Linked DNA regions of Caenorhabditis elegans. The protein of the gene in region 3 interacts with the protein of the main gene of each other region in a pairwise test. Each region holds a gene or a part of one and is shown on either strand. Other genes may lie near its edges. The genes, in order: emb-8, F17E9.5 and magu-2.

The links.
Region 1: the proteins of magu-2 (region 3) and emb-8 interact in a two-hybrid assay, tested with the Caenorhabditis elegans proteins (one large-scale study listed by BioGRID).
Region 2: the proteins of magu-2 (region 3) and F17E9.5 interact in a two-hybrid assay, tested with the Caenorhabditis elegans proteins (one large-scale study listed by BioGRID).

The regions. Positions count from the first base shown.
Region 1 is NC_003281.10:5,197,560-5,208,945, forward strand, and holds the start of emb-8 (NADPH--cytochrome P450 reductase), read right to left. Parts: upstream 2,119-11,386; 5' UTR 2,102-2,118; coding exon 1,980-2,101; intron 1,922-1,979; coding exon 1,828-1,921; intron 1,775-1,827; coding exon 776-1,774; intron 729-775; coding exon 480-728; intron 1-479. Other genes in the region: ATPase morc-1, read right to left, coding at 6,427-6,495, 6,545-6,784, 6,834-7,525, 7,574-8,212, 8,257-8,398, 8,474-9,060, 9,112-9,200, 9,256-9,335; syx-16 (t-SNARE coiled-coil homology domain-containing protein), read right to left, coding at 10,064-10,229, 10,275-10,528, 10,576-10,717, 10,768-11,026, 11,156-11,324.
Region 2 is NC_003282.8:8,343,890-8,354,832, reverse strand, and holds F17E9.5 (DUF7087 domain-containing protein), read right to left. Parts: upstream 9,016-10,943; 5' UTR 8,951-9,015; coding exon 8,870-8,950; intron 8,737-8,869; coding exon 8,329-8,736; 3' UTR 8,287-8,328; downstream 1-8,286. Other genes in the region: F17E9.16 (TransThyretin-Related family domain), read right to left, coding at 1,920-1,971, 2,022-2,137, 2,181-2,286, 2,335-2,495; F17E9.4 (TransThyretin-Related family domain), read right to left, coding at 5,740-5,791, 5,840-5,940, 6,126-6,228, 6,277-6,446; F17E9.15 (uncharacterized protein), read right to left, coding at 7,105-7,305, 7,354-7,410; F17E9.18 (Neuropeptide-Like Protein), read left to right, coding at 7,686-7,742, 7,793-7,942; lgc-5 (Neurotransmitter-gated ion-channel ligand-binding domain-containing protein), read right to left, coding at 10,348-10,500, 10,541-10,670, 10,715-10,826, 10,874-10,943.
Region 3 is NC_003283.11:8,794,477-8,805,862, reverse strand, and holds the start of magu-2 (MAGUK p55 subfamily member 5), read left to right. Parts: upstream 1-4,834; 5' UTR 4,835-4,866; coding exon 4,867-5,041; intron 5,042-5,319; coding exon 5,320-5,429; intron 5,430-5,475; coding exon 5,476-5,560; intron 5,561-5,620; coding exon 5,621-5,708; intron 5,709-8,934; exon of another isoform or gene 8,935-9,233; intron 9,234-9,305; exon of another isoform or gene 9,306-9,495; intron 9,496-10,295; coding exon 10,296-10,546; intron 10,547-10,600; coding exon 10,601-10,759; intron 10,760-10,958; coding exon 10,959-11,386. Other genes in the region: E3 ubiquitin-protein ligase rpm-1, read left to right, coding at 1-191.

The DNA.
Region 1 (11,386 bases), on a different chromosome or scaffold from region 3:
TGGAAAAAGAAAGTGTGATAGTGAGAGTTTTTTGAGTGAGAGTACAGTGAGAGTTTTTTGAAATTTTGTTTTAAAAAATACAAAAATGAACCGTGATGGCCAAATATAACTGTTTAAAAATGTAATAAATTTTTCTAAATTTTTTTGAAATGGTTTTTCAATTTTGCAAATTGAAAAAAGAGATAATTATTTTTGAATTCCCGCGCAAATGCATCGTCCGGTTATGACATTTTTCTTAAAGTAAACTTGTATACATTTAAGATTTTTTTGCGAAAAAATGTCTGAAAATTTTACAAACTGTGCTTTAAATTGAAATTAGCCAGAAAATGCAAAAATGCCAAAACAGGGTGATTCATTTGCTAGGGAATTCGAAAATAGCTATTTTTCTTATTTGCAAAATTGATAAAATTATGAAAAAATTTGAAAAAGTTATATTCGATCATTACGGTTCATTTTCTATCATGTGCAAAAAAATTTACCTTGGTGGTCAAATATCTTGTACAAACTCCATTGATATCACGATCACCAATAGAATATTTAGTGACAACTGCACAAATTGCAATCTTTTCCTCATTTAATCTCGGAGATGAAGCAATACTGTAGTAACGGGCTTGAAGACGTGGAAGAAGTTCAAGAAGATACTCAATTGGTGGTTTACATGTCTTTTGATCAGTCAATACATCGACAATTGAACGACGCTCTTTGACAATGTATCTGGCGTACTCTTTCTGAAAAAAATTCAATTACTTCAAAATTAAAATTTAAAAAAACTCACCAAGCCCTCCTCATTGGCAGTTGATAACTTATTAAGGAATTCCTTTTCAGTATCATCCGTACAATATTCACTGATTGCTTTGAGCACATGAGATTTGACTGGAGCACAAATATCAACATAATGAGAAAGAGCAGTTCGGAATGTGGTTGGGCATGGGAATGGATGACGTTTTGATGCATCTTCATCAACGTTCACAAGACGGAATGCGTGATCAGGATCGAATTGAAGCATATTAATGAGACGATCAACAAGAACTGGATCATTTGTTGGGAAGACAGCCAGATGATCTCCTGCTTCATAACGAATACGGGATCCTTCAACAGAGAACTCAATATGTCTACAACTACGATCAGAATGTTCGGTATGAAGTTCATCATTGATCGCAACAGTAGCCAAATATGGATTTTTGACATCAAATGGTGGACGTGGACGTTCATAAGCTCCAAGTCGTCCAAATTCTCCCTTGAAAAGAGCTTTTCCTTCTTCAACTGGTTCCAATTGATATTGTCTCATTGTCTCGGCCTCTGTGTTCAACTCCCATCCAAATTCTTCAGCAACTTTTGGCAAGAAAGCTTCTCTCCAAATCATAAAATCTTCTTCAAGATTAGCATCATCATCTCCTAATCCCAAATGAAAGATTCTCTTGGCTCCAAGTTTTTCAAGTTGTTTGTCCATTTGAATTCCAATCTCATTAAAATGTTCATAAGTCTTATTTCCAAGTCCAAAAACTGCAAATCGAACACCCGACAGATCACAGTCTCCAGCATTCAAATATTCAACAAGTGTCACTGCATTATCAGTTGGATCTCCTTCTCCATATGTGGCAATGCATAGTACCAAAAGAGCATCCTCAACTTCACTCAAACGATTCAAATCTTCACATTCAATATCTTCTGGATCAACGACAACAGCCTTCTTGGTGTAACGAGTAAGATCTTTAGCAAGACGTCCAGACATTTCTTCAGCTGTTCCAGTTTGAGATCCGTACATGATAAGCACCTGAAATTAGAGAATTTTGATTCTATTTTCTTTAAAATTCCATATCAATTTACCTGTCGGTTCTCATTTTTCATTCGATCAATGAATGATTGATTCGATTTCGAAGCCGCAGCTGACGTGGTGACCGATGCTACGGTTGGCGAGTATCTGAAATTTTAATTTCAAATGTAAAAAAAATAATTTTCTGCATTTATTTTTAAAGTACCTGCTAGACGATGGTTGCTGATTGAAAACCTTCATGAAAAGGAATATAATTGCTCCACCAGCGAGCAGAGTGAGCACCACAAGGTCTGATGTGTCGAGACCCGACACAATCCACGCCAGCATGTTTAGAATGAGAGTTTCTGAAATTAAAGAATTATTTGAAAAGGAAGAGGGAGATATTGAAAAAGTAAATAAATAAGAAGTTATAGTTTAAACATGTTTTAAAATATTGCCGCTGAATTTTGCGATGTTTGCGCCGAGAAAATGACAAGTTTTTGTTAAATGCGCGTGCGCCTTTAAAAAGTACTGTAATTTCAAACTTTCGTTAATGTTGAATTTTAATTGATTTTCCATAGTTTTTTAAGTTTAATTTTATGTGATTTTTATTGTTTTCATGCATTTCTTTATTTTTTCAATAAATAAATAGTTTTTAAACAAAAATGTGTTTTTTTTCTGTTTTCAGGTGATTTCAGGTACTTAGAAAAATCCCGAATCAAACGAAAACAGAGGAAAACTCTGAAAAATTGATTGAAATGGCGCAGAAACGTTAGTTCGAAACTACAGTACACTTTGAAGGTGCACACCTTTTTGTATTTATCAAAAATTTGGCGTGTTGAGACTGGGTCCAGTGTTTTTGGCGCAAAAACCACAAGTTTGTCGCACTAAAATATATGTATTTTGAGAAATATCTGAATTTCTATCATATAACTGTAATAAATAATTTTTTACAAAAACAATTTCAACTAAAAACTTAATTTGAGATACGATTATCGTATAGCAAATTCAGTGAGTCTTTTTTCAAAAAAAAATGTACAGTCAATTTGTGTGAATGAATGGGAACATTAGACATATTGTTCTGTCTGTCCCCTTAATTTGGTCTTACAGTTAAAGAAAAAGAAGAAAAAACAAAAGCTACAGAAGAAAAATCGAATTAAGGGAGGGAGGTATATTGAAATAAACAAAGATACGCCGTGAGGAAAAGTTATTAGTGAAAAGAAAGTTGTATTTGCCAAGAAGGTGAGTATTTTATAGAAGCAGATAGTCAGAGAGTTTGCATCATTTTTTGAGGTTTGTGATCGACACACATAAAATATGATTTGGTGGTCGAAGAAAGATACTTCGAGAACACAAAATTTGTCAGACTTTGTATTGACACGTAGACTAGAGTACTGTTTAGCCAAAATTATCTTCTGAAAACAAAACTTCTAAAAACTATGTAATCTTAAAAAATTTCAGACATTTTGCAAGTACAGTAGGAAAATGCTTAAACAAAACTAAAACAAGGAGTCAGGAAAAATTGAAACAAAAAAAAACTGCGGCACAATATCTGATATAACCCAAGTAATTTTACGGCACAAATACAGTACCCAAGGTCTCGACACGACGAATGTTTGTTAAATATGAAAACACGTGCGCCGTTAAGGAGTACTGTAATTTCAAATTTTAGTTGTTGTTGAATTTTCATAATTTTCATCTCGCTATGTTGAAATTTGAGTTTTTAAAATAAATATATCTATTTTTTATCGAAAAACTTCGAAAAATTGTGGGAAATTCCGCAACAATGAAAATTTGAAGATACAGTACTCTTTCAAGGAGCACGACTTTCTACATTTTACAAAATTTGTTGTGTCGAGACCGGGAGCAATATTTCTGAAAATTAAATATTACTTGGTCACAAAAGAGAGTCAACTTTTGTAATAGAAATAAAATAAAATTGGTTATTTCCACTATTACAAGACTTTCAGAAATAATTAGTCGCCAAACGATTGTTTCAGTCAAAAATAATTTCCTAATTTGAATTAAACGTCAATTCAAGTCATGCGATGAAATAAATGACTGGTGAATAACTGTTGAAATTCAAAGATTGTCTGGTTAGGTTTAATCATTGATAAGAATTGAATTGAGAATTAGAGAAGAAAAGAAATTGCGAATTTTGTTTTTAAGTTGATAAGTCAAATAGATATGGACTGATTACACCGTCAAGCATTTTCTGTAGTTTATGTCACTTTTATCACATTTTGACAAAATTGGATGTTGTGTACGAAAACCACACGCAAAGTACGGTTTTATCAAACGAAAATGCGTTTTCTACAAAATTTGAAGTTCAAATGGAAAATCATAATTGTTTGCACGTAGTTTTCAATCAAAATATATCGTCACACTTGAGTTAAAAATTGAATTAGGCCCGATACAATGAACGGTCAGTCATCGAAGTCGACGTACATAGGGGCGCAGACAACACACACATTGAAGACGTGGAGGATTTCATTTTTTCCGGTTTTAATACAAGGAAGAGAATAAGAAAGGCAACAGGTGCCACTTTTAATTGGAAATCAAAAGGTTATGCGGAAGTCTGAAGAAAATCGAAAAATGTTTGATTTAAAAAAAACATCTCAGAGCATGATTGTAGAGCATAGAGTTGGTTGCCTAGGTTTCCATCTCAAAGAATAGGCTGTGATTGCAGGTGACCTGGCTACAGTGTACCCTTTATATTATCAAGAAGGATATCTCGGGGTTTTATTTTTTCTATGTTTGATGTCAGAGAAAGAATATCGAAAACATTATAGCGTCCTCATTAACGAAATTATCGGGAGGGTTTTTTTTTGATAAATGGAGAAGCGACATTTGGATAATTTGTTATATTATACTCGAAATAGTCCCAAAAGTTTCGAAAAAATTTTTTTTGTGAATTTCTGTATATGTGAAAAAAATCTATGAAATGTCACGAGATGAATGACAAAAAATTGCAAAATAAATATGAAAATAACCGAATATTTAAGTAATAATTTGCGACCGCTGCGACACGGAAAAGTTGGGAAAACTGGAAATTATTGCTGAAATCAGGTTTTTTTTTCGAAACTTTTGAACAGCCATGAAACTTTTGAGAATTCTTTGAAAAGTTTCGTGAAATTTGGATTTTAAGGGCATTTAGGGTATAATGAAGCAAAACAATTTTGATCGAAACAAATAAATTTAAAGAGACGAAGTTCAGGGGAAACATCTATAAATCGTGGAAAGAGAAGAAAACGAATATCCATTAATAAAAGTAGGTCAAATTGAACATCGAAAAGAAGAAACAGAGAGAGAGAGAGAGAGAGATCGTCTAGAATAAATCAACTACAAATGAAATCTTTCTTTTAAGCAATTCAAGCCTTAACAGTCACATTAACTATACACGAAGTTCCCCTAATACGACTATGATAGAGATAGAGAGAGAGAGAGAGGAAACAATTGAGAGGGAGTAACAGCCCACAAAAATCGCTTGTTCTTTTCTTCTTTCTCTTTCTTGTCTCTCTCTCTCTTCTCGTTCTGTTTCTCTACCTATCTCTCTTCAGTTCATGTGTTATCTATAATTGTTTTTCTCGTGAACAACTACCTCTATTGGCTACACTTGATCTCAAAGTGTGGTCTATGTTCTAGCCATTTTTGTACGTGTAGTTTTTGAAACCGATAGAAATGTGGAAAACAATTATGGCGAGTTTTGTTGGGGGAAACCGAAATTTCTATTTGAACAAAAACTTTTTGAAGATTCAAGACGTGGAATAGAACAAAAATGTCTAATTTATGTATCAAATTTGCAAGAAGATCGTGCAAAATACTCGAAATTCGGCGTTGTTCTCGAAGAGTCTTCCCCGATTCTCAAAAGATCGGTATCGGAAAATAAGTCGAATGATTTGAAGAAAAGATAAATTCGGTCTATTTCCATGAATATTATGCATGTGAAAAGAAAAATCGGGTTTTTATACGATTTTTTGAACTTGTACAAGATTTTGTTGGTGAAAATCGGATTAAAACATCGAACTAGAAACATTCAACCGAAAATGATTAATTTTGAATTAAATTTGTGATCATCGTCTAGAAAATTCTAAAAGTTAAAAAAGAGAACTAAACTACAAACCACGGATCAAAATGACTGTGTTCTGCTTGTGGTTTATGCTTACAAACACGTAGAGAAAAAATACAAATATTTTCAAAGTGATGGAGGCAACAAAGATAACAGTATGTTTTGATCATACGGAAGTAAAAATAGAAGATCAACAGATTCTTCACTGTAATTTCTGAAAATTGGTGTTTCAGCCTTAATTTGACTACTGGAAGTTCGAATTGAAATACATAGATGGATATATTTCTTTGCAGAAAAAACAACTCGATTGAAAAAAATTCATATTCTTACAAAAAAAAACATTCATACGTTCTTACTGAAGAGACAAAAAAAAAAAAGTAACCCATAATTGAAAAGAGAATTAGAAGAACGATAATAAATAAATGGGGTCGGGAAATGAGGTCGGGAACGATAATAAATAAATGAGGTCGGGAACGATAATAAATAAATGAGGTAAAAACGATAATGAAAAAAGAGAAAGCTAAAAATCTCTGAAAAGATTATAAATGAACATGCTATAATTGTACAAGTACGTCCTTCTGGGAAAACAGGGCGAGCTGGAATATTATTTTTTCTTTCCTTTGATTTGGTGCTCAATATTTTTCAGTTTCTCCTCGACAGTTCCAGAAGCAGGCTGAAATTTCAAAAGTTTCAACGATAAAAAAAAGATAAATAAAGCTTACAATCTTGAAATTATGTGTCGGGTTCCTCTTGAGATGATCAAGAACTGATCCAATCTGACGCATAATAGCTTGCTGTGCGTCTACGATTCTCTGATTGTTTTTGAAGTTTCGTCGTGAGGTTTGCTCCACAATGTTCGTCGGGTCAAAGTCTCGTTGACCGTTCTTTGGAAGAGGTTGTTCTCCATGAGCGGTCAGAAACTGGTTGAGCATTTCTTCTAGCCATTTCTCCCGAGTCATTTTCTGAAAAATATACACAGATTTTGTGATGCAAATATTTGAAAAAACTCACAGGTGCTCTCACAACAGCCTTTCCTTTGACTTTTGACTTTTTTGGCGCAGTAGCGTATCTTTCTTCGTTCTCAGAGTCTGAGTCATCATCTGATTGATCTCTTCTATTTCTTCTCGAAACTCTTTCAATTGGTCTTTTAGCACGTTGGCGCGGTGCTCTGATCGTCAGTGCCTCTTGCGACTCATCCGATTCTTCTCCCATAATCATATCCAATTGTGAACTTGGCGCAGTTCCAGCTCTACGAGAAATTTCGGAAACTGCGGGTGAGATTGCTCTTCCAGTACTGTGCCTGCGTTGGACTTCTGCGATATGACTGTCATGCGCATTGTTTGGAATGGGTTCCATCTTGACAGATGTTGTTGAGAATGATTCTCCCAATCTGTGACCACCAGTGGATGAATGAATTCTTTCGTGACTTTCTATCTTCGCGACGTTCAATAGACGAGACGAAGAAGAACAGGATGATGCCGAGCGAATAGAATTTTGAGAGTCGGACGATGATGGTGCTGAATTAGTCAACCGTTTCTGTGGTAGGATATGATCATATTTTTCCGGTAGTTTACTGAAGTCGTTATCTTCGGCGACAATGGTGCGACAACCATGATGGTTTACGTTTTCGCAGCAGAAGAAATCATCATTCGAGCCGACTATTTCATTCGGACGAGATGCTTTGATCCAGGTTCGGCACATTTCTAAAAAAAAACAGTAAATTAGTTTAATTATAAAACGAAAAAACTCACGACACAGCTTCCAAATCCCACACGTCGTCCACATCACCTGATCCCTCGCGCTGTCGTGAGTTTGAACACATGTCGTTGAGGTGGTATTATTGTATCCATAAACGCCCCATAGCACCGCCCAAACGTCATCGCCCTCGTAAATTCTCACGTTCCAGGTATTTTTCAGATGTGTTGGAATCCAACTCTTCTCCAAATACATGGAATAGTCGCGTAGAGCATCGTTGCACTTTCTAACGAGCACTTGGAAATCCTTCACATGATCGAAGCCTTGTTTGTTTTGTGCCGCACTGAACAACGAATAATCCAGACTCAGGAACATTGAAATACCGATGCTGTTCGCGAATTTACTAAAGAACTTGGCTTCCTTGTTTCCCCATAAAATCAATCGATTGTTGATGTAGAAGTGGATACCATTGTTCGATCTGTCCTTGGTTTCAATTCCCATGTTGAGATGGAATGATTTTTCACTCTTTCCTTCTTTCTTGAATGCATCTCGATCGGCAATGGCCGAATCCAAATTCTTCTGACTGGTGTCAACACGAAGCCGCAAACTTTTCTGATTGGCGCGATCCTCCCTTCGGACAGACGTGTAATTCGTGCCACCAATTTCCGACATCACCAAAGCCTTCTCTTCTTCGCCTGAAACAAATTACAGTTATATTCTTTGGGTGTCAATGACTCACATTTCTTGACTGTCTCATTCTTTTCATCAAGAATCTTGTTGTAGGCGGCTGTGAACTGATCACCACTAATTAGTTGTTGCTTCTTCGCAATCCAGTTTTCAGAAATCCTTTTCGGCAGAACTTGTTCTCCGCGGACATGAATCTGAAAATAGATTTTCAGAATTAAATGTTACAATTTTCGTAAAAAGCTGAGATAACGAGAGAGAATTTTACTTACCCTCATTCTAGGCTTGAGATAAATGAACTCCAAATATTTTCGAAGAGACTCGCGCCAAGGCTTGTTTTCCTCGCCTGAATCGACAATAATGTCAGTCGGATCCTTCGTCGTGTTGATTGCCAGTTCTCCAGTCACACTTCTTCTCAGATTGCCAATGATGATGATCGTTCCCGTACTTCCAGTGATTTTATCGGCCAATTCAGCAAGAGTTCTGGATCCAAGTGGAGCATATTTACCGATAATCTTCATTTCAAGATTGAAACGATCTTTTTCGCTTTCGGTTTGACAAATTGGAATACCATCCAAGTCGAAAGAAGGGCACGGCACAAACACCGAATTCGTCAGTCCTTGGTCTTCATGGAAGCGATGAGAAATGAGGAGAGCTGTTATAATTCCGTCTTTCTTCGTTACCAGTAACAGTTCACGTCCCAAATGAAATGCTCCAGATTTGAGTCCGTTGCCATATCGGCCGATTTTGTAAGAACATTTTGCTGAGTGTCCAAACGTGATGGCGTGAAGTGCCTCTTCGCGAGCCATGCCCAGTCCATCATCACGAAGTTCAAGAAACTGTTCATTATTGATGTCCACTGTAAATATAAACATTTTCTCTCTACTGAAATTAACAATTCAAAACTTACGAAAATCGATGTGAAGATCTCTCGCATCTGCGTCATACGCATTATCCACTAGCTCTGCTATTGCCGACAAGGGACCAATGTGGGTGTGACTGAAATTTTTATGGGTATTGATTTTGAATGTGTTTTAGAAAGATTAAAATTTACCTGTTGCTTTTCAGGAAGTTGAGGTTCACTGAAGCTTTTTCCAGCTTTTTGTAGTCATCCCCATTAGTGTCATTGGGCATCATTATTTTCGTAAATGCTGAAATATATTTAAATCAATCATTTTTGGATAATAGTCCTTGAAGAAAAGGGTGATCGACGGAGAAAAAGGTAAACTTGAGAAAAGGTTAAAGACATTGAAAAATAGAGGCCCGAACAGAGGACAAATGGAATTTTGTGGGCCATTCGAAACACTTTAGGCCAATGCAGCATATATCCGGTATTAAAAAGCCATTATTTGCGCCCAAAAGAAAAAAATCGTGAAAGGAAAACACAACAACAACATTTTTCGAAATATCTCGCCCAAAAGCTCCGCGACGCGTGCTGCGGGCGGTCCGAAATGCGGCCTGGGTCTCGAAGCGACAAGTGTTACGGTAGTCAATTTCAAGGCTTTTGGCGGAAAGAGAAAGAAAAATTGGCTTTGGCGTTAATCAGTTGATTTTAAACGAATTTAGACGGAAGAAAATGACTAAATTATCAGAGGAATTCGAAGAGTAACATGATCCGAGTGAAAATGCGGCAACATAATGAATCCCTGCTCTAGAGTGATGTGCACGAGTTTTATATAGAGAACATTTTTAATTACAGATTAAGTAGTGGAAGAATTTTAAATTTGAATAAAACAAGGAAATATCTGCATTACGGAATCTAACCGGAATCTAAAATTAGAATTTCATTGATTGAACTAGAGAAATCAATAAAATACCCGGTTTATTCAAAAAATATAAATAAAACTACTGAAGTAAAAGAATTACAATTTAGTAACAATAATAAGAATCAGTACAAAAATAATGGCAACAGTGAGCATACAAATACAATGCATTTTTTTGTTTCCTTTTTGATATCGTTCCGCTTTGAAGACATCTTCAACTGCTTTCGACACACGAATCGAGGTCTGTTCAACATTATAGTCTATTCTGAAATTAAAATTTACTATAATTGACCTTAAAGCTTCGTTTTACCTATCAATGACGCTTCCTTGATCTACAATCATTTCTGATAAATCCTGGAAGAGTGTATTTAATTCTCTAATTGATGTGTTCACAGCCATCACTTCCTTTTCGCGCTCTCGAACTTCTCGATCGTTATTCATAAATTGTTGAAGCTGGGCCATTGATATTTCTGTAGATGGTGACACATCTAGCTCAGCCCAATTGGGAGCATCAATCAGTGGATCTGTTGTGATAAGGTAATTGTCCACGTTACGGGAACGATTCTGAAACAATTTTGATGTGCTGAATGAAACTTTTTCAAATCGCTTACCTGGATATCACTCAAATATTTCAGTTGTCTTCCTCTAAATTCATCGGTAATTTGGCTAAGTGTTAGGCTCAGGGTTGCAGCAGCATTTTCTCTTAACTTTCGCTGCATAGGTTTTTCTTTGTTATGACTTCCAGATATCATTCTGGAAAATTTTGAATTACCTAAGTCAAACCGAGTCTGTAAATAACAAACCTGATTAGCCTTTGACAATGTGTGAGCATTTGAGTGATTTGCTCCGTCGTCTGTTCCATTTGCTTCTCTTCTTTTTCGAATGCTTCATCTCCAAAATTAGGTCGCGAAATGTGTTTTCTCTGTGCCTCTCCAAGTTCATCTAGTCTTCTCTGAACTCTTTCAACTTCGAATTCTACTTGATCAGCAGTATGAATCCAAACTGGCTCTTCATCGGATTCTTGTCGCCCATCTTCAAGTTCCACTAAGGCCATTCGTTCTTCTGAAAAATACATTATTGCAGACTGCAATTCGCAGTACAGAATTTGATCATTTGAAAAGAAGAGATTTTAGAAAAACCTATTTAATAAAAGTCATTTAATGAATATTTGAACCAATTCAGAATACTCACCATCACCACGACTCCTCACAATTATATCTGTATCATCTTTATAAATTAATCGACTTTGATGAGCATTTGAACGTAAAAGCATAAAAACTTCTGTCAAATTTCTCGTTGTTCCGTAAATTTCATTTTTCTTTGCAGCATTTGCAGCAGCGGTAACAGAAGAGGAAGCCATCTGGAAAAAATCAATAAAATGCTAGAATAAAAACGTTGCAAATTTACTTCCAGAGTGACGTT
Region 2 (10,943 bases), on a different chromosome or scaffold from region 3:
TGTAGAAAAAATCACAGCACAAATCGAATTAGGATGGTTTCAACGTGGAGGAGACGGTTTTGTTTTGATTTTTCAGAATTGTGAAACTTTTCGAAAGCGTCGTCGAAGCAAAAGACGATGAGGATACCTTCGTGGAAGGCCTACATCCCACGTGTCGCCCACTGTCATGGTGCATTGTTTTACATGGTCACGTGGTGAGTTTAGTAAGCATGTACACTTTTTTAACGCGATTAATTTCAGACATGACTCGAGCCACAAAAACGAGCAGATTATTACTTGATAGAACATACTTGAAATTTCTCTCGAATTTTGCCGATTTCTTGATTTCCAACTGAAATTTGCGAAATTACAGAAACATTTATTTTTGCAACCAAGAACTATTTCCAAGACAATATTCTAATCGAACTTTTCTGAAGCTTGAATGAAAGAATATATAGAATAGAGCACATTTTTCTTGGTTTCTTTCAGGTACACGTAGCGATCACATCACCTTATGGTAATCCATAGGTTTTTGTAAAGATTGGTGACTAGGATTTTCGAAATTGAATGAAATATTTAAACTATTCTAATATGTGTTTCACTTCAACATAACAATTTATATTTAAAAGTTATAATTCAATTATTCAAATGTTATCCAAATCGACGTCCTCCGTGGCATAGAGTGTTCTGAAATTCAGACTGTTCTATGATTACTTTGTAAAAATATACCCATCAATGACTGGCAGTTTTGTTTTGAAAACGTATTTCGAAACTCTGTTGTGAACAAATCATGTAGGAATCATACAGGTGTTCCAAATGCACATGAAGATTTCATAAAATCCATCCTATAATTTTGTTGTACATACATATCGTAACGACTATTCCAGAGAACTTACATCCGATGATCCATCTCCGTCATCTTCAAAAAGAAATTGGTAGTTCATACTATTTGGAGCAACCGTTTGGAAGGAATCCGTTCGAAACTCTCCTAATTTATCATTGAACGTGCTAAAAATGGTTATTATAAGCATTTGTTGGAAAGTTTTAGTTAACTTACATCAGGTCATGTTCGAAAATGTCCACTTTCTGAACAAATGGAGCAACTTTCTTGGAGCACGTGAAAGATCCATTGAAATGGAACTTGGTGAGAACTGATTCAGCGACTGGGAAGAGTATGAAAAAGAGAATACACAGGAAGCCTCTAAATATTGTCAGCATTTCAAATATCAATAGAAGAAAATATCAAATTATGTAAGTTTATGTAGAAAAAAAATCGGCGCACAAATCGAATAAGGATGGCTCCAACGTGGGCGGTGTAATTTTTGATGCATTGTCACATCTATCTATCAGCTAGCTTTAGCAAGGAGTCAATTTTCAACAAAAATATGAGGCAAATTTATTACGCATGTTCAATTCCTCGTGAGGAAAAGTTTAGGAGTGACTGGAATCATGGAAGAGAGCAATGTCAGGTATATTTTTTAGAGTATTGTTTGGAAAAAAATTGTATTGTTACAATTGTCCAATGATTTTCCGATTTTGAACTGAAATGTACGAAATTATATGTAGTCATTTTTTGTATCCAATGACTATTTCCAACACAATTTTTAATGGGACTTTTCTGAAACTTGTAAAGAATGTACTTGACATTAAACAGGTCTTTCTTTTTCCCGTTATGCTTCAGATGACAACCACGATATTTTTTTGGTAAGATAAGATTCGGTAAGGTATGAGGGCATGCATATTTTTTCAGGACAGTTTTCCACAGGCCTAAATAGTAGGAGACTTCTCGAATTCTCGTGAACGGATCCCCAGCGCTTTACATGTCCCTGTCTGCAGTATAAAATAGAAGTATAGGCTGGTGACTAGTATTTTCACTGTCTTGTATTGTATAATTTGTATATTTGACTTCAAAACGTTTATTTATTTTTAGAAACCGTAGTTCAATTAATCGAAAATTTATCCAAATTGACGTTCTCGGTGGCATAGATTATTCTGAAATTCATCCGATTTTATGATTACTAAATGAAAATAAAATTGTATACCCATCAATGACTGGTAGTTTCGTTTTGAACCAGTAAGATGAAATTTTCTTGGAATTGAATTTTGTAGGAATCATACAAGTGTTCCAAATCTTCATATAAATTTCATAGAATCCATCCTGTAAATCGGATGTACTGTAGTAACTATTTTTAAAAACCTACATCCGGTTTTCCATCACCGTCTTCTTCAAAATTAAATTGATATTTCATACAATTTGGAGCAACCGTTCGGAAGACGTTAAACTCTCCTAATTTATCACTAAACGTTCTAAAATGGTTACTATAAGCATTTGTTGAAATTGTTTAGTTACCTTACAGATAGTCATGTTCGAAAACTTGTACTTTCTGAACAAACGGAGCCACCTTGTGGGAGCACGTGAAAGATCCATTGAATCGGAATTTAGTTAGAACTGAATTAGCAACCGGGAAAAGTATGAGAAAGAGAATACAGAATGAAGTGGAAAAAATTCGAACCATTTTGATGATGAATGAAGGAAAATTGGAAATTATCTCAGGTTTTATAGAAAAAATTGAAGCACAAATCGAATCAAGATGATTTCCAACGCGGAGCGATTTTTAATGATCAATCTTTGACCTAGAAGATCCCCATAGTCAAATCAGAGAGGCCATCAATCCGAAAACCGGCAAATACTCATTGACTCCAAAATCATTGACTACCTGTTCTCATTGCCTTCCTGTTCTCATTGCCTACTTGTTGCTCGTTGACTACCTTTTCTCATTGCCTACTCTTTCTCATTGCCTACCCTTTGCTCATTGTCTACTCGTTTTCTTCATCAGTCAAGAGGCACGTACAAGGACCGTATTCCAAGAATACATCAAAGATACATCTACTCAATTTGTTCATTCATTCAAAGGGTATATATATATTTACAATCTTTCAATCTGTACACAACATTTCGGGCAACAATTAATAGTAGATGTCATGTTTTAATTTATATTAATTTTGATAGGACACGCAAAGGCTGGGCAACATTCATTATCCATCAACATTAATAGCAACAATAGCAACAAAAAAACAATTAAAAATTTGAAATAAAAAGTCTGGAGTTGATAGTGGCTTTCGATCTAAAAATGAAATAACCTCCAAAACTCTCTAAACTGAGTATTTTCAAACTGGCGTATCTCAAAAAATACACATCTGGATAACAAACGTCCAACTAACAAAATGATCAGAAATATTTTTTCTTTCTAATTCAATAGTTTTTATTTCAATACACCAACTTTTTGTAGAGTTACACGGAGTCAAAGCCATTTTACCAATTTTCAAAAAAATTTTAAGAAGTCTTTTGTTGTACCCTTTATAACTCAACTTTCATTAATTTTCAGAAGATAAATTTTGTTGAATAGTGAGTGAAAAATATTTTTCCACATTTTACCAGTTTCAAGTTTTCGGATATTTTCATGTTTCGCCAAGTTACAGACCGTTTTTCAAAAAAAATCCAATTTCGCTTATAAAAATCTTCATATTCAACGTATCGACTTGAAATTTTGAGAAATGATCACTTTTTTGATGTCTCTACAATGTCCTAAAAAATCTTTCAAAAAACACTGTCCATCTCCAAAATCGTCCTTCGCTCCGAAAAATGAAATCGGACTTTTGCTTTTCGAGAAATGTGCGAAAAAATCAAATTGCGATTTTTGGGTCGAAAAAAATATTTTTAGAAAGCTTAGAACACGCTATTTTCATGTTTATTTTGAGTGATTTCTTCTCTTAAACGACCTAAAAGTTAAACAAAAATAACATAATTTTTATTCTCACGTGAAATTTTTTAAATTTGCATTAAAACAATTGAAACACTGAGCAAATTACCAAATAATTACACGTGAGAATAAAAATTATGTTATTTTTGTTTAGTTTTTAGGTCGTTTAAGAGAAGAAATCACTCAAAATAAACATGAAATTCGTAAATAGCGTGGTCTCAGCTTTCTAAAAATATTTTTTTCGACCCAAAAATCGCAATTTGATTTTTTCGCACATTTCTCGAAAAGCAAAAGTCCGATTTCATTTTTCGGAGCGAAGGACGATTTTGGAGATGGACAGTGTTTTTTGAAAGATTTTTTAGGACATTGTAGAGACATCAAAAAAGTGATCATTTCTCAAAATTTCAAGTCGATACGTTGAATATGAAGATTTTTATAAGGTAAAATGTGGAAAATTATTTTTCACTCACTATTCAAGAAAATTTATCTTCTGAAATTCAATAAAAGTTGAGTTATAAAGGGTACAACAAAAGACTTCTTAAAATTTTTTGTGAATTTTGATAAAATGGCTTTGACTCCGTGTAACTCTACAAAAAGTTGGTTTTTTTTTGAGATACGCCAGTTTGAAAATACTCAGTTTAGAGAGTTTTGGAGGTTATTTCATTTTTAGATCGACCCACAGCCACTAAGCCACTTTGATTTTTTCGCACATTTCTCGAAAAGCAAAAGTCCGATTTCATTTTTCGGAGCGAAGGACGATTTTGGAGATGGACAGTGTTTTTTGAAAGATTTTTTAGGACATTGTAGAGACATCAAAAAAGTGATCATTTCTCAAAATTTCAAGTCGATACGTTGAATATGAAGATTTTTATAAGCGAAATTGGATTTTTTTTGAAAAACGGTCTGTAACTTGGCGAAACATGAAAATATCCGAAAACTTGAAACTGGTAAAATGTGGAAAAATATTTTTCACTCACTATTCAACAAAATTTATCTTCTGAAAATTAATGAAAGTTGAGTTATAAAGGGTACAACAAAAGACTTCTTAAAATTTTTTTGAAAATTGGTAAAATGGCTTTGACTCCGTGTAACTCTACAAAAAGTTGGTGTATTGAAATAAAAACTATTGAATTAGAAAGAAAAAATATTTCTGATCATTTTGTTAGTTGGACGTTTGTTATCCAGATGTGTATTTTTTGAGATACGCCAGTTTGAAAATACTCAGTTTAGAGAGTTTTGGAGGTTATTTCATTTTTAGATCGAAAGCCACTATCAACTCCAGACTTTTTATTTCAAATTTTTAATTGTTTTTTTGTTGCTATTGTTGCTATTAATGTTGATGGATAATGAATGTTGCCCAGCCTTTGCGTGTCCTATCAAAATTAATATAAATTAAAACATGACATCTACTATTAATTGTTGCCCGAAATGTTGTGTACAGATTGAAAGATTGTAAATATATATACCCTTTGAATGAATGAACAAATTGAGTAGATGTATCTTTGATGTATTCTTGGAATACGGTCCTTGTACGTGCCTCTTGACTGATGAAGAAAACGAGTAGACAATGAGCAAAGGGTAGGCAATGAGAAAGAGTAGGCAATGAGAACAGGAAGGCAATGAGCACAGGTAGTCAATGATTTTGGAGTCAATGAGTATTTGCCCCGAAAACCTGAAATGCTCGGAAAATGTCCTTTCGGCCGAAAACAGGAAAATCCGAAAAAAAGGAAATGTAAAAGGCAACGAATTTTAATATTTATTTAATAAAATTGAAAGTATTCCAAACTTCCAAACGTTTTTCAACTACTTGATATTCTACTACAGTATCTGCTTGGCCTGTTTTCGGTCGAAAGGACAGTTTCCGAGCATTTCAGGTTTTCGGAATGATGGCCGAAAGGTTATTTGGCTGATTGTAGAAAATATGGGTAACAAAATTGTTTTATTAAACATAGATGCTAATATTTTCAGTCAATCTATTAACACATATTTAGTTTTTCCTTTAGTGTTTTGTCAAGTCACTCAAATTGATATCCATTGTGTGATTGTAGGCTCTGGAACGGTAGTTCTTCTGTAAAATACTGAAAACAAGCAAGAATTACCCATCAATCACAAGGAAATCCTTAACATAAACAGTCACATCATCTCCAGTTCGTTTTTCTGTACAATTGTGATAGATAGTGAAGTAAATTTCATAATCATTCTGAAACGACACAATTAAAATTGGTTTTAAAGAACATGTAACAGTTCTGAGTATTTTGAACACATAGACAAAACATGTGGGTACTTTGAAATTAATTAAAATTCCATTAATTACGTTCCAAATCATCTCAACCGTTACTCCTCCTATAAGTCACAGCAAAATTTTAGAATCACAACAATACCTACATCAAATAGTCCATCCCCATTGTCTTCTGCGTCAACTTTATAAAAGAAACCAGATTTGTCTTTAATAAATTGTGCTACCTCTCCTATCATATCATTTGGTGTTCTGACATATTTTCAATAGATTTTCATAAAAATTTATATTCAAACTAACGCTTTATCATGTTCCCATACTTGCAGCTTCTCGACAAATGAATCTTTCATGGTGGCATTACATGTGATTGTTCCAGAGAAATTGAATTTTGTAGAACTGGCCGAATAGACAACGTATGGGAAGAAAATACAAAAAAGAATGCTTAGGAATACACTTGAGAATCCCGTCATTTTGTATATGATGTAGAAACAAAACTTTAGAAGAATCTTTTATACGGGGAAAAGATGACTGAGATTGGAAAATAAAATGATGCGTTCACATGATGATTTCCACAACATTTCAGAAAATCACATTTCAAGAACATTGACAACAAAACAAAACAAAGGCAGAGATTGCATGATTGGATGGGATTCGCAAAAATTGTAGCTTTCTAACTTGTTAGGCGTAAACATGGATCGACCCGCGACCCTTTTCAGAGTGTCAGCAGATTGCGAGGAACTTCACTTTGAGTCACAGGTTCATCAGGGACTCGCAATTGAAACTATATTATCCAAGTGTTCATCTGTTTTTTTAACGATTTGTTTTGGGCCGACCAATAGGCACAGAGTTTAGAAAGAACGTACAAGAAATATAAACATAATATTCAAAGTTTTTGATAATTTTGAAATCTTGCTCGTAGATACTTTTAATTGTGATTACTTATTGAACACTTACACTTACGAACACTACACATGTCAGAAATTCCAGTTTATAATGTTAAAAAATGTATTAACAATGTCGTAATAGGATGAAAACAACTGTAAAACGGTTTAAACTTGTTACATTAGGGGGAGTGTGCAATAAAATAAAGACTTTCTGAATGCTTGAATATGTTTATTATATATTTCATCAAGAGAGACATTTATTTTCTTCCCCAACCAAGTGGAGTTGGTGGACGATTGATATATAGTATGCACAGATAGTATGCTGTGCAACTGCAGATGGAATGAAATTGAACAAATTTGGCTCTGGAGCTTGTGGAATTGGATTGAAGATTGATGGTTCAATGTGATCAACTGGTTGAAAAGCCATTGACCATGGATAGAATTGCTGATTGAATAATATAATATTATTTGAGTTTGATCATTTAAAACTTACCGCAGAAACTGAGCAAATTGTGAAGACAAGGAAGATATAGGCATTGAATATTTGCATTTTCAAAGACTTTGCTAATGATACTACACAAAACGCGTTCTTTTATATTCCCAGTTTGATGAGGTCCCTCCGAAAAAACCACTGCAAAATTTGATTTCTTCTCAAAAAAATCAAAGGGGTGTAGTTAAAATGTTTAGAGTTTTCTCGATTGTCGGAGGGGTCAGAATATTTTATGAAACCTGTTATGTTTTTGAACACTACAATCGGAGGGAGCTCGTAAATGTTTTCATATAAATTTACCATTTTTCGGTGAAGTCCAAAAAGCGCATCTCATAATGCAACTGTTCACCGCCTGCATCTTCCTTGCTTTCGCCATTTTCTCGGTTTCCGCGGTAGGCTGATTTCAAACTTTCAAGCAAAAGAAACGTATAATACTTTACAGCAATTCATTCCAACTAATCAAATTCTACCATCACTGTTCAACCCAGCTAGAAGAGCTCCTCAGCCAAGTTCATTCAATTTCATCCCATCTGCAAATGCAAGACATACCATCTATCGTCCACCGACTCCACTTGGATGGGGAAGAAAATGAATGTTTCTCTTGTTGGAGTTGGAACTAATAATAAAGATTATTGAGCATTTAGAAAGTGTTTGAATTATTCCAGTTTGCGAGAATCCTTGAAATAACCCAGCGAAACGAACAGCAATCATACTAAAGTACTCCAATAACCCAGTATTTGCTCAAAAAGTTGATAGTTACGATAGTTTTTAAGTAATCACAGAAGCCTCTCTTCGGACTAACCACAACAAAATATTACTCTTACAACAAGATGCTCACTCTTCTGAAACTACAGTAGAAAAGAGCACTTAGTTTTTCCAGGTTTTTTGGCGACCGAGTCTAGCAGAATTTGCAGATTACATTCCTGATCAAAAAGAGCAAGTAAAAACTTTTATTTCAAAAACCCCCAAGTATTCTTTCTACTGTGCTGGTGGAGCTGCAACTGGATCCTGGGCTGGTGGTGCAGTGGCGGCTGGGTCTTGTGCTGGAGCTCCAGATTGTCCCTTCTTGAACTCATAAGCTTCAATTCCGAGTTGTCCAACAGCGGCGAGCACGTGGATGAGCACGAAAAGTGAGAAGAATGCATGCCCAGAAACACACAAGAAGACGAAGATACCAGCAAGAGCTGGGACAAGAACCAATGCGGCAGACTTTCCACGAACTTCATTGTCAGACGAGGTAAGAACCTTGTTGATCTCCTCGCGACCATCAATGTTGAGAGCAATGTTGTGCGATGAGACGGCAACTGCTCCACCGAGGAAGATGAAGTAGAATAGCTTGGCAAGGAAATTGCAATCGCCGAGGGAACCGAACAGAACCATCAGGAGCTGCAAATATTTCATGATGTTCTATACATTCTGGAAAACGGGCAAAAGACCAAGAGCCAGGACAAGTCTTTAGAGGCCAGCCCTTAAAAACCAGGACCAGTCCTCCGAGGACCACGAACGGCACAGAACGAACCTCAAATGAAGCACACACGATGACGGCACCACGAGCGTAGAGCACGTACTTATTGAACTCGTACGGTGGGATTTGATCCATTGCAGAGAAGTAGTCGAGTGAGTAGAGAATCGGTGATTCGAGCAGAGACTGATTTGAATTACACATTTTCCGATCTTTTATACGGACGGATCTAGGGCAGATTGACCGTGGAGATAAAGAAAGGTCGAGGTTGAAGCGGAGAAAAAACAACCTTTATAAAAAAGTTTCTGGATGTTTTTTGGAATTATTTTTGAAATAAAGTAAAACATCACGGTCATCGAAAAAGAAATTAAAGAATTTCTAGTTCATCCGTTTCATGTAATTAAACAAGCTTTTTTAGTCACTTGAGGGAAGCCTTGTTCAATTATGAATATACCGATAACCGCGTGTTTTTAGCCAGCTGAATGCTTTCTAGTTGGCCTGGAGAATATATATAGGCCAAATCCAATAACGTTTGCGGAAAAAAAACATTTGAGAAAACCAAAACCTAATTTACCCTAATTTATAAAACCATAATTTATTTTGAAGTTAGTTTGCTGCAGGTGCGATAGCTTTACCATCCCTCACTCTGACTGCTTGACTTTTTGCACACATTAGAAAAAAAGGGGGTTAGGGTAGCTTTACCAAGGCGGCAAAGACAAAAATTGACATACTTGGTAAGCACTGAGTGTCTCTGCGATGCTTATATCCAGCGAGATAGATAGAAACATTATACAAAATCAATAGAATAGTCTTGAACAATGTAGAAAACCTAATTTAAAAATGAATGAGACTGATTTCATAGCCACAATGACTGAAAATAGAAAGACTCTTCCATTTTCAAGCACTTGCAAGTTGCAGGTAAGCTTATGGTCTGTTGTCACGTGACACCTAAGTTTTAATTGCCAAAAATAAATTCACAAAGATTCATTTACTAGTTTAATGACAGTTTCGTAGACAGATAAAACCGATCCAGTTCACAAAGAACCTATTTTCAGAATTTAGATAATTTTCACTTTTTCGAATTTTTGAAAATTCCCCGAAATTTTTTTAAATTTTGCTTTTTTTATAATTCTTGCAGTAATAGTTATGTTTTGATCATTTTCATATTATAGTGAATTTTCAACTCAAACGAATCACTTTGAAACAAGTTATTGTCAAAAAACTAAAATTGGATAGAATTATGGCCGGCACTGTAGAAGGCCTAGGGACTCTTGAAAATTTGTCAACCCCGCAGAAAACAATACTCTAAAAAAGTCCAAACATTCCATGTTCTCGCGCAGGAAAGTTGTTAATATAAATTATTCTTCACTAAAACCGATCATTTGTTTTGAGGGTGCTTTAGAGACGTTTTAAATATTTTTTAATTTACTGTCAAACAAGTACCCAATTTTTGCCACTAGGACTATCTATCCCTATGAATTGATCAAATTTTTTAAACGGGTAAATATAAATTTATTGAAAGTTATTTTTGATTTTTATTTCCAATATACAATTGTTATTACAACATTGGCAACTTGAAACAGAATAAGACACATTAGATCAGTTTTATCCAGAATTTTGAGCCAGAGCAACTGATTTTCATTAATGCGAGACATTTCTTGCAGAGTGTCACGAACAAGAAACGCAGTCTAAAATATATCAATTAATGTTCAAATCATGGTGGTTTACCTTATGTAATGACGACTTCAGAAGAGAAACAGGCGCAATGATGTTCTCGGGAACATCCATACTGGATACAGAACTGGTTTTAGAAGGGAATTCTTCCCTCATACAATCACATAGTACGAGACATCGTAACCTATTAAAAAGTAGAGATAATTAATTAATTATTCATATATTCACCATTTTGGAGGGCACGTTGCATTTGTGTGAACATGATGATGAACATGTTGAATAACAATTGCAGCAATTGTAGCTGCAGTAACCACAAAAATTTCAGCAATAATATAGTTGCCTACATTTAAAATAATAGATGGATAAAAATAATTAGACTTCATTTACCTAGTAATGGAAGACGCGAGGCTTTGGGCATCATATCGGAAACTAATTGAAGCATCATTGAAATTGCAGC
Region 3 (11,386 bases):
TCTGCGCACCTTGCCATGATGACTTCCAGCGTTTAATGTCTCTTCCAAAACATCTTCTTCCAACATGTCCAGTTGGCCCTCGATCAACACCAATGGAAGAACAAACATGCCCCCTGAAGATGAAGCATCCTCCAACTGGTGATGAATTTGCAATGGGTTGTGGAATTTGTAGAAATATTAGTACTTTTTGATTCATAATTTTATTTTTAAATCTATCCGGTAAAGCCTCTTATAGCAGTCAGTCTTTCTGAATTGTATCAAATGTTCAAATAGAAATTATTCCCTATTGCCTCTGTTCAGTACAAATTGATCTCTCTGTCTTACCATTTCCAAAAATTTATTTTTTAAAAATTGACCACGGGTTGCTTTTAGTGTTGTTTTGATTTCTATAAAGAAAATTATATTTTTATTGATACTTACACATTAAATAGATCTATTGAATAAATTTCTTTAAACAAATAGTACTCCTTGTGATCACTGGCCAGACGCGGCTATTATAGATTCAACCCACACAGTAATTGTGCTCTTCTTTTCAAAAACAAATCGAATTAGCTAACAACTCACGAGGGAAAAAGAAAAGATGGAGTTTCTCGCTGTTTCCCATTATTTGTGGCGATAATCACATTGAAACAAAAACGTTGGACCTTCAAAGCATCTGAAGAGAGGAGGAGAATGAGTTATCTGGGAATGTACACTCAATTGATCATCTAGATTTACACTAAATTCATTTAAAAAAAGCAATAAAGAAATTGTAAAAATTGCTTGGTCATTTTTATTACATAGTCTATATTTTAGTATTACAATGAATTTAGTGCAATTTTTAAATTCCAAACTTTTTGACTGAAAATTATGTATTTACTTTGAATCTAGAATATTTTGGGAAAAAACACATAAATTGCAGTTCCTATTAGTGTTGCACCCTGCTATAGCAGCTTTTATCTCTATTTTAAGTGTTTCAACAACTATACGTAAAGATATAATAAAGGTTTTGATAATAATTTAACTTGTTTTGCAAGAAAGCAAGAAAATCAAAAACTGACTAATAGAACAATAAGGGTTGTAAGACTATTCAAAACACGGAGTAAATAAGGTTTATAATAATAATAATTTAATGACTATCCTAAAAAATGTTCTAAAATTTTTAGAGTGAAAACAATTTTTTTTGTTAATCCTATTTGTTTAATCATGAATCTAATTAAAAAAAACGCTAGGTTGAAGGTAAAAGAAAACATATATCAAACTGTTCATTCAAGCTTTTGACAATAAAATCATATTATGAACGAAACTCTTCGAAACTTTCTCGCGTAGTTACAAACTCCGTCGACGCAATAAACTTTTCTGAATCCATTTGAAAACTGCTCACAATCCAAAAGTGTCTCACACTGAGCTTTTCTGTTCCTTTTACGGCAAGCATCCACTGGAACAGTGAAAAGCGAAAATAGAACAATAGAGAGTAGAAGAAGATTGAATTGGAACCGCATATTGAATACAAATGGAGGTGTATCTGTGTTTTATGTGGGCGGAAATGTGGAAAAAACTAAAAAAAAACTTATGATTATAATTGAATTACGGTTCGAGAAGCAATACTGTTATGGGAACGGAAATCGAATTGAGGCAAATCGTTGCAAAGTGTATAGTTTTCCATTTGTTTCAAAGTTGTGTCATGTGATTACGGTAAAAATAATTTATGGAACCTAAGAATTTGAAAACAGAATCTACTGGAATTATTTTATTGTTGGAGGTTTACCCGAAGAGATTCTCCACAAATTTTGCTCTTTAACACAAATTGTTTTAAAAGTTGACTCTTTTTCAATTTTTCAAATCATGTAAAAACGTTTGAGGAAAAAACAAACCAATTGATCCTTTTTTGCTTCTATTCACAAACATTCAAAAGTCGTCTTTATTTTGTTTGTTATTGCGTGCCATTTCTCCACCAAATGTCCGTTTTTCTTTGCAAACGCCGTTCCAACAACTCTTTTCCAAATCCGTCAACTTTATAACCAGCTGGCAACTCTTTGAGCACTATTTTCCTTTTTTTTTGAATGAAAGTGTGAGTACGCACACGGGGCCTCTCATCAGCTGCTTTTCGTTTTCTAAAACCACTCGTTTGGGACTTCTAGGAACCCCTTCAATTCCCTTCTTTTTGGTTCTTTTCTCCAAATTTCTTCGCTCATTTTTGAAAGTGTTTGGAATCAGAAAAATAGAAGTGTGGAGATCTCTAAAGCCATACTTCTAAAAACCAAAAAGCCGGAAATTGGAAACGTTTCTCACGGCGACGTTGATGAACGAGTGAAGAAAAGTGAGAAAGGGAGATGGTTGGTTCCACAGAAAAGGAGATCATATCTATCTAGATTTGTTCTCGAATGCCAGTTAAACACGCTTTGACGGCGGAGGAAAGTTATTTGAAGGTCTCGTTGACTTTACTTTTCTTAATTTAATCTAATCTATGCAATTTCTCTAGGATAACTGCCAAAAATAATTTTCATGTGAATATTTCATTTATGTAAAAACACTTTTGTTTGAGTTTGACTTTCTTATTGCTATTTTGACTTCCTGTAAAACTTGCTGAATATAAAATTGCAGCAGGTTGACTATAAATTTTGATACTGTAAAAAAGTTTTCTTCCATTGACTCATATACATTCTATGAACGTTATTATTTTCAAACATAAAATCCTTACAATCTCAAAGTATTTTCCACACAAAATTTTAAACCAAAAGTATTTCAAGAGAAATACAAGAAATTCGGTAAGTTTTTAAAAGTGTCGCTAGTTCTCTAGAGATTGAACAAAATGCGTACGGTTCAAAATTTTTTCAAAATTGATTAAGCGAATTAGTTTTCCTATTTAGTTTAAATGGTTATATTTTGAAATTTTAATATGTTTTAGAATTTCAAAAAACTGTTTGCATAATTTCCGCATAAAATCATAGTTTCTCGACAAACGTTTTGTGAAGATTATCAACGATGGACGTTTATGTTTTTCACAATATCTTCTCACAACTTATTCTCAAAATCCATATTTGTTTTTTGCATTCTATACAAAATAAAATATGCCCATCAAACTCGAAACTAGCCTAAAAATGACTGAGATCCGAGAGGCGGGTGAAAAAAGTTTTTTTTTTTTAAGTTACGAACTTTAACCATAATAGTAGTGTTATTTGTCTTGGTTTTTTTTCAAAGCTACGAGAGTCACAATAGAAGATCGGCGTAATTTGTCTCAGAGAAAATTACAAGACGACATGTTGAAGATAGATGAGCTGATCAATGAAATCAGCACTAATCAGCTGGCTATTCTCTATCTTATAGCTTGTTCTTTCTATGCGGCCTGCGTCTCTTCAAATCCCTGCGGGTCGAATGTCACAATTCACCATCTCCTTTTCTCTTTCTTGCTCCATGTGCTTCTTTCTGTCCCCAGACTGGACCTTCTTGTGCTCTCCCACCCACACCGCCATCTTCCTTTCTCTCTTTGCCCCATCCTCGACTATCTGTATCTTCTTCGTTCTCACTTTTTATACTCGAGACTCTGTGGAAAAAGACACAGAAGACACACCAATGGCGTCAAAAATCTTTTTTTTTAGTTTCCCTCTGCCGGACACGATGCACATAGTTTCGGTGCGATTCTCTCAAGAGGATCCCCCATAATTATTTGTCACTCTAAATCTCAAGCTCTCTCATCCAGTTTTCATTCCCAATCTATCCATCTCCCTGTCACACTGAACTAGTGGAATGAATGTCAATATCATCAATCTGGACCACTGTTTTCATCTGTCTCGTTCAATTTTTTATCCCCGGGAAAAGCTATTATTTAGTGCTTCATTCCGTGTGTCTTGAGCTCATGGATACTTTGAAGACCTCATCTTTTTTGATTGAACAAACGTGACAAGACAATTTTATGAATTCTTAGAGAGTGTGTGTAATTTTAATTGCTTGCAGCATGCTTGACAGCTGCACTTACTGTTTTCCTTGAAATACGCAAACTTTCACTGATATGCCTAATTTTAGAAGTGTATTTTTGAAATTCAAAGGAAAAACTTAAAATTTACTTTCAAAATCTTTAAAGTAGCTGTTTTTATCAATCTAGAAAATGTCACTACAGATAAAAATATTGTATTGATATGTGGAGTCTTTTAATTGTGCTTTTCGTGAGTCAATAATTAAGATTGCATTTTTAATTTGGCAACAATTTAGAAATTTGTTATCTGGCAAATATGTTCTATGATACCGTAACTTTCTCAGATAACTTTAAGATTATTTTTTTGTCCATAACCTCTGTTCTCAACTTTAAGACATACAGTACCCCTTATACACAGCTCCCTTTTTTTGTTATTTTGAATTTTCTCTTCAACTATTCCCATTTTTGTCGGTCTTTTTCCAATTTACCCCAAAAAGTCCATCTCATCAAAAGCGCTTCAAGTCTTTTAGTTCTTATCCCCCATTCCTCTTTAAGCTCTTGAAACACAAAAAACAATTGCAGAAGAAAAGAAAAAAAGCAATTAACTAAGAAAGTGCACTCATCACAACTCTTCTTCTCGGTTCTTTTTCTGTCTCAATTATTCACGCAACAACGCTTACATGAAGTAGCAGTTTTTCGAGTGATTCTGACATTTCTATTCATTTGTTTCAAGTTTATGATTATTTTTAGATCCAAGTTTTGAGCAGATCCCGGAATCCTAGCATTCATCATTCAAAATGAAAACCACGAGATTTCAAAACAACTTTTTTCATTTCACCTACTCATAAATTCCATTCCGATTCAGTTATTGCTTTATTTTCAGAAATTTGGATTCTCATTTTCTTATTTTCGCTTTCGTTGGAAATAATATTCCCAAAAAATTTTCAGCCTTCATCTAGTGGCTCGAGTATCAAATGTCCAAGTCGGTGTCGATACCACAGGCACTGTCCGACTTGAAAAGGACATCCTTGAGACGGTTGAGCAGTGCACGTGGTGTTGGAAATAAGAAGACCGTTGTGAGCACTTCGACGCCGTTGAGTGGTTTTGTAATTTTGGTTGAACGAGAAGAGAAGGTTGTTCGGCTGTACGGTAAGTAAAAGATAATTTTATTTGACTAATTTATAAAAACATTTTGAAGTATTTTTATTGAAATAATTTGCAATTTTGATGAATTTTTACTGAAATTTTGTCAACGAACATTTGTACTAATGCGATTCTCCAAATCGTTGATGGCATCGGCAAAGTGGGCGTTTTTTTAACCTATATCGCAATTTTTTTCGCTTTTTTCAAGGTGTCTGGAAATCAGATATAAAGTGCTTTACAAATTTTATGCAGACTTCTGAAAAAATAATCGATTTCCATTACAGGAACTGCTGCGGAAAGAGCAGGATTGAGCATTGGAGATGAAATCGTTGGGGTAAATGACATGAAAATAGAAGGAAAAAGTTATGAGGAAGTCACAACTTATATTCAAGAAGTTTGATAAAATTTATGATACTTTCTTGCAAAATTTCAAATTTCAGTGTATTCGTCGAAAAATCATTCAGCTGAAAGTTAGACGTCGTGCATTAGAAATTCCAGCAGAAAATGAAGCTTCTGTTTTTAACTGTGAGTAAAAAAAAGTTTATACTTTTTCCTTTTTAATACTTAGTTTTTGTTTAATTTCAGGCACAAATTCGAATCGTATGATAACGGATGCATATCTAGTTTCCGTGGATAAGGATCATATCAAGGAAGTTACTAAACGGCTGAAAAAGTGAGTAATCTTTTTTTGAGAGAGATTTTCTTCTCTGCGATACTATCTGTGAGAAGCGGAACGTGTAAAGAACGGAAAGAAGAGTTCTTAAGTGCTCTCTATTTATGGTATATGCATAAACAGTGAATATATGACAAATAGTGCAAATACCACTAAGATTTGGTTTTTGGCAAATCAATGTTCTTGAAAAGTTCTCATATTTATTTCATTTCACTTAAAAAATTCATCTCTCTTCATTTTCTTTAAAATCTTTGTTGTTCACTCGTCGACCTGCTTTCTAGAAATTAATTAATGGCCTCGAAACTTTCTGACGGGCAGGGAAACACAAAAACACTGAGATTATGAATGTGAGCTAATTTGGAATTCTCGTTCGTCCAGTCTTCACAACTATATAGGTCACATTCTAGTATTTCACACAGTTAGTCGGCACGTCTAGTATGTCACAAACCAATAATCTGTCAAGGTGAAGACAAAAAATGGAGAAAAAAAAAGAGAAAAAACGGAGAGTTCCGTCGTCAAATATATCAATAAATCTAGTGATTAATCAGTCAACCTGGCGATTCTTTTTTATGTCTCCCTGATATTCTATTTCACAGTCAGTGGCATTTTCAAGTAATAGAACCTCCCATTGCGCTTATCACACTCATTCTCTCTTTCTCATTCCTTTTTTCTTATTCTTTCATCAACTTTTTAAATGTTTCTGTCTCATTACACTATTTATCAAAAAACTATCATCACTCAAATTCTGTGTTCTCTTCGTTTCGAAGGTTGTCTGACTTGTGATAATTGCAGGTTGTTAGGGTTTCAGAACGTTACAGTTCTTTATTACAATTTACTACGCTTTTGAGATTTTTTGTATGTTCACAGTTAGCTAAACTCTTGCCTAGCTTTGGAATAACATGTTACTTTCAATTTATTGATTCTTGTATGTTTTGAAAAGCAATGACTTTTAGCACCCTTTTAGCACGACTGAAACTATCAGAAAAAGATTTTATACAGCTGCAGCTAAAATTTCAACACACTTTTTCAAAGGAAATGTTCTGCAAAACTTTAATTCAATCGTCAAAAATTGAATAAGGAGCAACGACTGCCGTTCTCTCAAATTACAAAGAGTCACAGAATTTTATTTTCGGGGGAATACCTTTCCAAAAATGGGTGAAAGGTCATAACGAATACATCAAACTCCAACACATTAGACACACATTGTTATTTATTGACATAAACCATTTATTGCTTTCCATTCGTCTCCTCACTTTTCCTTGTCGACAATTGTCAATTGCACCGTTCTTTCCAAACCCAAAAATTTAACAAATAATTATTGAATCCGTTTACACTTTCTTTTTTTCCATTCAACCCTAACCGTTCCTCTTTTTGTCATCATTGTGCAAATTTCATGCATCATAAATTTTTGAGGACGGTACGGTTTTTGTGTAGTTGTGGATCGGTTAACTGTTTGGTGATGGACACAGTTATCGCGACTTTAACAAAATTTTGCTTTTATATTTGTTATCAAGTGGCAAATTATTTTAAGTTATCATTATCAGTGGAGCAGAAGATATTTTATTACTTTTCTAATGTTTCGAAAATTTCAAGGAGTATAGGAATAATTTGCAATTTTTGGAAATATATTGGGTTCGAATTCTAGAAATTAGTCTGTATAATTTAAATATTGTTGATTCAAAAATTATTTTTTCAGCTACTATATGTAATATTCATTTTTAGAACCTTTCATTTTCTTAGTGTTTTGCTACTTTCCCGATATGTCTCATCATTGCTTAAAAATATTTATACATCATAGCCACCACCTTCTAAATCGTGGTTTTCATAAATATGTATTTGTATACATCTTTTCCCCAATAGGAAGGGATGCGCAAACGGGACCTCAAATGTAAAGCTGGTGATGAGCAAACATAAAAGTAGAAGAAGCGCGCACGAAAGATGATGAAGATGCAATACGGACTGTGTGTGAACAACTACAATACCGTCTATTGTTTCGACCCTCACTCACTCTCACCTTCCTCTTTTCCCTCAACCTGCACCACTTTGTATACAATTGTCATGAAGAGAGTCAGGCTGAATGGGGAATTATTCTAGGACTAGATTTGGTTGATGTTGGGTGACCAGCATGGTTTTCCACATTTTCATCTTCATAATGATTTTTGGAAGAGAAAATCAAAACCAACATTATGATCGAATGTTCTTCAAATTGTTTTGGTAACACCTCTTACCACACTTCGTAATAATAATAAGTACGTGTCAAGTTGTTTAGTCACAAAACCGAGTATGTCAATTTTTCAATCCAAACTGCAAACATTCAGTTTTGATTTTTTACAAAGTCTGGGTTCTCCTCAAATTTTACTTTTAAACTTTTTGATTTTCAAAAAATTGAAACTCAACTACATTTTTTTTTTTCTTATTAGACCACTCTTTTGAAAATGAATTGAGCCTCTAATTAGATTCACTCCATAAGTGGAATGCATTCAATAAATATAACTTGGGATTTAACAATTTATATTTCGTTTGGTTTAAAATACGTCAGCTCTTGTTGGAAAAATGAGACTTTACTTTTTTGTATTTTATTCCAATAAACATGTTAGTGAGAAGCACTCCGATACAAAAACTAATTTATTGATCTCTTTTGAAATCTGAGAACATTCGAACTTTAGCGAACGGGAAAAATGGTGTGGAGCAAATATTTAGGTTTTGGATTTTTTGTTGTTTTTTAGATGTCAGATTATATAATAGCTTTTGGTATCTTTTACATATATTTGCAACTTGCTGTTCAATTTAAAAACAGATCGTTGGGACATTATATTTAAATATACACCCGTACTAATATCAAACTATAGATTTTTTAGACTGAAGTTTGAGAAAATATCTAACGTATTCTTAATTAGAACCTATGTAGTCATATATCCTCTGTCATACCTCATTAATAATCCGCATCCTTTACCTCACCTATCCACAGAGTATATAACCTTGTCTAATTAGACTCCCCAATCCCCTTTTCCCGCTCTTTGCCTGCCATATCGTGAAACGCCCTGATTGTCAGGATAATTGGCATACATATATGCACGGGCACTCTTTTTCTCTACCTCCTCTTCACCTTTATTGACAATACAATGTGCAAAAAGGTCACAATACCGAGGTATAATACTCTCTTTTTGACAGTCGATGTATTTATTTCATTTTCACATTTTCACCAAAAATATTGAAAATAACCAGTTGGATAGAAAAGAGATACATACAAAATAGAGAAAATACACACATAATCCCATCTCTTTTCATTTTCCCTTATTCTTTCGTTTTTTACTTCCGTTGGTGGGTTTCGTGGTGGTGGGTGCGTTTTTTTTTCCGTGCCTTTCCACCCATCGTTCCATCCCATCATTCCACCGACCCATCATTCCGACACGAACACATCATCATTCATTGTTATTGTCATCCTTTTCATATATACCTGGACCTATTCCCCCATCAAATATAGATCAAATCCATCATCTCTGCCCGACAAAGCTTGTACCAAAAAAGGAGAAAAAGCAGGTGTCGTCAATAGGCTTCACGCTTCCGGACCGGCAGGTGTTCGGGTTTGAGACTGAACAACTGAAGAAACAACGTTCACATTAGCCCCCGACCCAAACCGATTGAGATGCTTATCGGTCAAAACTAGCCGAGTGTGGGTGAGAGAGAGAAGGTTTAACGGTGGTCTCCTTTGATTTCCCGACAACTAAACTCCCAATGATGATGATGAGAGAACGGTCTTTTTGATGGTTTTATGAAACCTCATAAAATTCATATCATTCTGGGAAAAGGTCAGTTCACTAAAAGTGGGAGCATAGGTGAAAGTTTCGTATTAGAAAAATTTTATAAAAAGTTACCTGCATATTCTTTTTGGCGCTCAAAATTTGCAGCTAGAAATTAACTATGCCCTGGTGTCGATTTTTCAATAACCGAATGCCTTTTTCAATAACAGTCCTAGAAATACTTCACTTTATTTGAATTATTGACTCATACGCCCAATCATCCGCACAATATTTTTTCACCTTTTGTTTGAAATATGGAAAAAAACCATAACTTATAAGTAACCCTTTTGAAAATATTTGACACGTATTCGTTTGTTTGTTGCCATTTTTCGATTTCTTTTGATGTCATTGTAAGCATTTGCCAGTTGACTTTCATATGTCTGCCTCTCTTATACATTAAAACCCCAATTTATATTCAATTAATTAGTTGGCACGGAGTGGTTGCTCTGGCGTGACAATACATACGTCACCATTGTTTAAATTTCTGATTATTTTTGCAAGATCAAGAAATTTTAGAAAGATGTGTTTTTAATAAACCCAGAAATACACTTATTTCTAAGTTTCGAGGTTATGCAAATACTGATAGTTCTGAATCATCTGTTATTCCATATTTCCATGTTTCTATTTCTTATCGCATATTTCACATCCTCCTACGCATGTTATCAACTCTAGTGATTGTGAGTTTTGTTGCATTCACACTCTTCGTTTCAAAGGTGTTTTGCTGTTGTCGTACCGTTGCCCAATGAATCATAATTATTGCTAGTACTAATTCAAAATCGTTTTGCAGAGAATACCCCGAAATTCACACATATGACATGGAGTACATTGCTGCAACATCTGGACCACCATCAGTTGCTCCACGGGGTTCAGTTCACACAAATGGATTTGGGATCGAAAGAGGATCTCTCCGTCGTCCACCTGAACAATTTGAAATGCAAGAAAAGAAAAGGAAAGAACAAGAAAATACATTTTTGAGAAGTTCATTGCGAAAATCCAAGAAGCTTCAAGCTCTGGCACGAAATGTAGATCCACTTACTAGTGAGTTGATTTTTGATAAATTGCCTTTGAGTGTTTGATTTTTGTTTTATTTAGATGAACCCATGAAAGTGACGTCATTTGCTAATCCACTCGCTGAAGTTGAAGAAACTCCATCGAGAAAGACGGAAAATGGAGCAACAAGGATAACTGTTGGAGAGGAAGTTCTAGAAAGTTCAGAAGTTCTTATTGACGAGGAAAATAAGGATTCTAGGCGTGAGTAATTTATTTTTGACAAATGATTGTGAGAGAAGCATTTTTCTGATCTTTAAAATCAAATTAATTTTTGGCTGAGTACAGCAGAACTAAAACATTCTGGAATGCTAGAACTTTAAACACACTCAAAAATCAATATTCTCAAAATTAGTTTTTTTTTCTTTTACAGAAACAAAATTTATCAAGATTATATTTTCAGAGCTTGACGAAGTAATTATATCTGTTGAACGAATTGCATCAAAGCTCTCTTCAATGCAAGGGCGCGAAAGTGACGTCGCAATGCTTCGAGATTTCTTCGCAGCTCCACCAATTCAAGCTGCTATTGAACAAACAGTTAAGCAGAACGGGAAATGCGGAACAACATCATCTGGAATTGGAACCGATTCTGGCGGTGATTCTTCGTCGTGTACATCTTCCCCCATCCCACCAGTTATAATGAATGGGAATGGAAAATCAGAGAGATGCCCATCAACATCATCTTCATCTTCTGTATCTCCAAGAAATGCTCCAAATGTTAAAGTAGTTGAAGTTGTGAAGGATGAGGATAGTTATCTTGGCGCAACGGTTCGAAATGAAAATAATAAAATAATAGTCGGAAGAGTTGTGAAAGGAGGAATTGTAGAAAAG